2 linked regions of the Kluyveromyces lactis genome follow. The protein of the gene in region 1 purifies or fractionates together with the protein of each later gene. This does not show direct contact. Links are inferred from orthologs where the notes say so. Each region holds a gene or a part of one and is shown on either strand. Other genes may lie near its edges.

The links.
Region 2: the proteins of RPS2 (region 1) and RIO1 purify together in Saccharomyces cerevisiae (affinity purification with mass spectrometry; 3 studies listed by BioGRID). This does not show direct contact. The link is inferred for Kluyveromyces lactis from reciprocal best matches to the Saccharomyces cerevisiae genes RPS2 and RIO1.

What each region holds. Positions count from the first base shown.
Region 1 is NC_006042.1:901,754-904,499, reverse strand, and holds RPS2 (40S ribosomal protein uS5), read right to left. Parts: upstream 1,347-2,746; coding exon 567-1,346; downstream 1-566. UniProt on the Saccharomyces cerevisiae protein: Component of the ribosome, a large ribonucleoprotein complex responsible for the synthesis of proteins in the cell.
Region 2 is NC_006041.1:1,885,612-1,888,699, reverse strand, and holds RIO1 (protein kinase RIO1), read right to left. Parts: upstream 2,249-3,088; coding exon 668-2,248; downstream 1-667. Other genes in the region: RTC5 (Rtc5p), read left to right, coding at 1-615; KEI1 (Kei1p), read left to right, coding at 2,573-2,608, 2,724-3,088. UniProt on the Saccharomyces cerevisiae protein: Required for the final endonucleolytic cleavage at site D converting 20S pre-rRNA into the mature 18S rRNA. Required for the final steps of cytoplasmic maturation of the 40S ribosomal subunit.

The DNA.
Region 1 (2,746 bases):
CTCCGCTCTATTTAATGGTGATATCCTTAACTGTTTTATTTGAATTATTATTATAGTGTTATATCTATTAATTATTAAAAAAAAAAAAAGTCTTAAAAGGTAAAAAAATACTGTAAAGTAATAAAAAAAAAAGGTCAACCGGAAGAAAGACTACTGTAAAAAAGAGACTGGCAGTGTTTAAATTCCAGAAGCCTATTAATATGATTGGCGTATCTTGACCTGTACTCTAATGGTCATATAAGAGAAATCCCTTTTACCTTGATTTTATCACTATCTCTTTTTTTTACCATATGTCTTTTTCTCTGGTTTTTCTTGCTACGAAGTGTATAGGACAGTCATATAGTTTCCCTTAGTTAGTTTGTCACGTATATTGATCATTTATTATGATCGATCCTAAAGGGTTAAGGTCAATTATAATGAGTGTGAATATATATGATATGTAGCTTGTGAAGAGAAGAGGAACAATTGGTAAAATGTCAACAATATATTATTGTTTCAGAGAAAACATACTGACAGCTATAAAAAAATATCTATACAGCACAGTTATAATATTTTAAAGATGACATTTACAACTTCTTCTTGGAAGCAGTGGCGTAGTCGGCGTAGACATCCATTGGGGAAGGAGTCAAAGCTTGGACTTCCCACAAGTTTGGAGTCAAGAAACCGTAGGTGTTACCGATGGCAACGAAAGCGGCCTTCAAAGTGTTTTCCAAAGTTCTGGTGGAACCAGTAGAAGAGGTGTAGACATCTTCAACACCAGCCAATTGCATCAACTTCTTGACAGCTGGGGAGGCGACGATACCGGAACCTCTTGGAGCTGGAATCAATCTAACGGAAACGGAACCACACTTACCAGAGGTCTTGGTAGCCAAGGAGTGAGGTTGACCCAAGTTGGTACCCCAGTAACCTCTTCTGATTGGGATAACGGACAACTTGGCGATGATGATACCGGCTCTGATGGCACCAGCAACTTCCTTAGCGGTCTTAATACCCAAACCGACGTGACCGTTGGAGTCACCAACGACGACGACAGCCTTGAATCTGGTTCTTTGACCAGCTCTGGTTTGCTTTTGGACAGGCTTGATGTTCATAACTTCATCCTTCAAGTTTGGCAACAATTGGTCAATGATTTGGAATTCCTTGACTGGCAAAGAGTGCAAGAAGATTTCTTCGATGGAAGAGATCTTGCCGGCCTTCACCAATCTACCCAACTTGGTAACTGGAACCCAACCCTTTTCTTCTTGGTCTCTTCTACCACCTCTTCTACCACCTCTGCCACCTCTGTTGGCACCACCGAAACCACCTCTACGTGGAGCTTGTTGACCTTGAGCTTGTGGAGCAGACATCTTTGATTTATCGAATTGTACTTAATAAAGACTTGTCGGGATTGGATCACGGAAAGTTGATGGATAGGTAACTTTCAATCGACAATAAATACAATGCGTGGGGAGCTTCGAAGGAGAAACAAATAGAGATTATAAAATTAAATTACTTAACGTTTGGTAAGATGCAGCTTTGTTTAGTGATGAGATAGATAGGTCTCATGTGTGAAAAAAAAATATCCGACGTGTTTGCATGGTTGTGAAGCTAGAAACCTTTGAAAAACTTTGATTGTACTGGCAGGGTAAGAGGATATAAAGAGGCTATAAATCACGTGTCAAGATAGTTTTGTTTAAAGGTCAATATTTCCTATTAAAGAAAGTGGCGATCATTATTGAAAAAAAAGATGGAAATTGAAATTGCCGAATGTACGGGTGTTAATGGAGAAAAGCAGTCCACAAAATTTATATCCCGACTAGGAGATATAATTTGGTTACCCTAGGTTACCCCAGGTCCGGCATGCATTTTGCTTTCTCAGTTTGCTTTCACCGCAATCAGGACATTCAGTCAATAGGACACAGAAAAGTATACAGAAGAACAGCCCTTATTTTACGGTAACAACATTATCAAGCCATGTTAGTAGCAAATACACTCCAATTGGCCTATTAGACAGAAGCAAATTCATCTTCTGAGACAGAAAAGTGATTACTTCTATCGCTATCCAGCGTAAATGACGTTTATGCCGCACACCTTCTCAGCATCTTGGAAAGAAAATGTTCAAACGTGGAACAGAGAAGCCAAACTAACGCAGCGGGAACCGGCTGTAACCGCTCCATCCGTATTACAATACATAATACATAAAAGCACTCACACTACATCACCAATAGTTACACTTCGTCACACTGTGACATTTCATCATTGTTCGACTTTTAGCTTTTATCGTGATTGGGATTGTGATTGTGATTGTGATCTCCCGTTTTCTTTTTTTTTTTTTGTTTTCTAGATCAGTTCTGAGCACGGATATTTAAGTAGCGATATATCCCTGAAAAGTACGATATTATATAACTGCGATACTACTAGTAGGGTATTGTTTGAGTCTTCTCCACAAGATTGTCTTAGTTTAGTAACCTCAGGTCCAAATCGAAAAGTTCAAAGTTTGGTTCAAATCAGTTCAGAATCAAAGCCCATACCGGTGTTTTTTTTTAATAGTTCCTTTAGACAGAAATACCATAATCAGTTTACCCTTTTTTCTTTCTATAAATTCAACCCCGAAAATATAAAGAGACAGAAAAAGCCGAAAAAAAATAGTGCTCATTAAAATAAGGTAAACTATCGTTACAATTTTGTTAAGGCTTTAACATTTTCTATATTCTCTCTATTATCAACTCTTTAGGGATTCAGTTTCACAACAAACGTATCAGTGTAT
Region 2 (3,088 bases), on another chromosome or scaffold:
CTGCAAGAATATGGTAAGTTAAAAAGTGAAGATCAACATTTGGATACGTTAAGTAAGAAAAAACGAAAATTGTTATTTGCTGTTTGTATTCGCGACCCATGGAAAGTATCAAATAAAGATTTGTTTGGTGATTCGTCTACAAAAATTATCCAACTTCATCCAAGACAAGAGATCTTCGATGCGGACCCATTCAAGACAGGAAACGTATATTTCAACACTGTTGGGGGAGGTATAGGTATTGGTAGCTCTCAACCTATCATCAAAGCTAACGGTAAAAAATACTTCCCAGGAAATGTTTCACTTACTATTGATTCATCTCTCGAGTTCGGTATATTTAGACATTTGGGAGCAGGTGGGAGTTTTAAGCCTGGCCGTCTAATAAGTGGACGTGGAGAAGAACGGAATTCGTTCGAATACCGATTCATAATCCAAGATGTAGAAGTGTGGGGATGCGGAGGAGAAAAAGAGCTCGAAGAGCAAGTAAAGCAATGGCAATGGGAAGAGGCCGAAGCCAAAAGAAGGCAAAAGATCAACTTACAAAGCATGGGAGAAGATCGTGCATTATTGGAAATGGCAGGTCTTGTAGGGCAACATCAAAGCGGTGGATCTATTTAAAATCGCTAAGTAAATATTAAATATTTGAAATTGCATAGAATTTTTAAATTGATCATTTCTTGCTTTTCGTCTTGTTAATGAGCTTTTTCTTAACGTGTTTTTTTACTTTGGTCTTCCTCTTTTCACGTTTGGCCTCTTTTGTTTCTTGCTTACGTTGTTTTTTAGCATCTTTATCTTCGTACTTTTTTCCTTTCAGTGGAGTGTCTTTATCGGAGACCCATCCATCACCATCAGAACTATCGTTAGTTTCATCACTATCATCATCTTCATCTGATCCAGCTATGTCATCTTCATTGATATCCGTTACGAGGTTAGGGAGATCATCACCATCTACGTCATCTTCCTCGTCATCAGAAGAAGAGAGTTCATATTGCTCCGATGCTGTGAAATTTTCGGAATATTTCCTGTTTTCATTAGCAATTAATGATTTCAGTAGGTCAAATTTACCATCAGTGAATCTATCAAAATCTCTTTCCTCTAAACCACCCAAATTTCTTATCAAATGTAAAGATCTGAACACTTCATCTTCAGCTTCGTCTTCATCAGTCAACTTTAGAGGTAAATTGTCGGCAACATATGTTTCTAGATCATCGCTTGATCTGTAATCACCCTTGAATTTGTCTAAGACCTCACTGATGATGAACTGGAAGATCACCCGTTCAGGGAAAATGTCAATTCCCAATTTTTGGAAATATGAGTTAACATTCTTAATATCCATTCTTAGGAAATCTAGAGACATAGGATGTTCTGGTTGTACGGATTGCGAAACATCAATAATATAAAGCTTATCCTCATGTACAATACTATTATACTCACTCAAGTCTGCATGAACTAAGCGACATACCTGATATAACAGTCTCATGTACGCTATCATTAAATTGTAGTAATGTTTAATTTCTTCTCTATCTTTGTAAGGATGATCTTTAAGCCTCGGAGATGCGAAACCATCTCCTCTATTTAAAAATTCCATGACTAAAACGTTTGATCTAACTTCTATTGGTTTTGGACAAGGTATGACACCGCTTTGGTATATTCTCTTCAAGTTTCTAAATTCCTTTTCAGCCCAAATTTTGATCATCTTACGAGGATTATGTTGAGATCTCGAATTTCTGAATCTAAATTCACCATCAACGTATCTTTCACGATCCTTAAAAACCAAGATAGATGTCTTGTAAATCTTCACCGCGTATTCCTTCTTATTTTTTGGTTCATCAGTGGCAGTTGAAGTGGATGTGGCATCCTCAGATTCGGCAGTTAGAGCTTTTTGTTTTGTTGATTCAATATTTTGTGGGGCTCCTATTGTATCATCATGTCCCTCTACCAGCAGATGTCTCTCCTCATGATTACCAGCAAACGCATGGTACACGTTTGCTTCTTTACCTGTACTCAAACAACCATTAAATGCTGATAATATTCCCCTGTTCATCATGGATTTCAAAAACCTCATCGTACGTGGGTCTAAAACATTCTCTACAGTGGCCCTATTCGCCTTATCTTTGCTGGTTTTACCCCTAGTTAATGATAACTCATCTGTTTTGATGCTATTGGCATACCTCTCTAGGATCTGAGTGTTGACATGCTCATCACGGTTGGCTAAATTCAGTTTTTCCAGCTTATCGTCAATATTCATCATTCGTAGTCCAACTATAGATAACTTCTGCTTTCTGATTTACTAATTTGACAATACACAGGAGCTGAACGGCGTATATTGTTCTGTAAATAACCACTATTCCAACCTCATCGCTCATCTTGTACACCATTAAAGTAAAGTAGCGTACTTTTTTTTTTCCTACGTTTTTTTTTCACGATGCTCTAGACAGGATCGCGAATTGCTTTTCAATAGAGGAAATAGTTGTAAACATTCTAAAACGCTCAGTAGATGAATTGAAAGGTCTACCTGTGTAAGTGGAAGAAACCAACTTGCTTTAACGTCAGGGTTTGTCCTTATTATACTCCTATGCAGCAGCAATCAAATATGGTTCATTTGCCACAAGTATGTTTCTTTTGGGTATTTAACCGCAGTTGAAAGACGTTTTTACATGATCGTTTGATGCATGGTTTTTTTTTGATACCAGTAATATGTACTAACAGATGACATTGCCCTTTAGACATTCCTGTCTTATCCCTTGTACATAGGTGTTGAGGTTGCACTTGGTGTGCTAACCTTCAACAAATTCAGCGGGATGTATGGTGTTCTTGCACTTTTCACTGGACACCCGTTAGACTTTGTGCAATGGACTTTTTACATCTGGTCAATTTTCTGTCTAGTGGTATTCATTTCAGGAATAAGACAAGTTTATAAGCCCAATATCCTCTTAATGTCCACGGTTACTTTTGTGTTCAGTGTGGACACAATTGTTAGTTGCATTTACTGCTTATGGTTCACTGCTGTGTGGTTCAGCCAGGAGGGCTCCACTGACGTTACGGACTTGAAGAGCGCGGGAACCGCACTTGGACCAGCTCATGAGGGAAC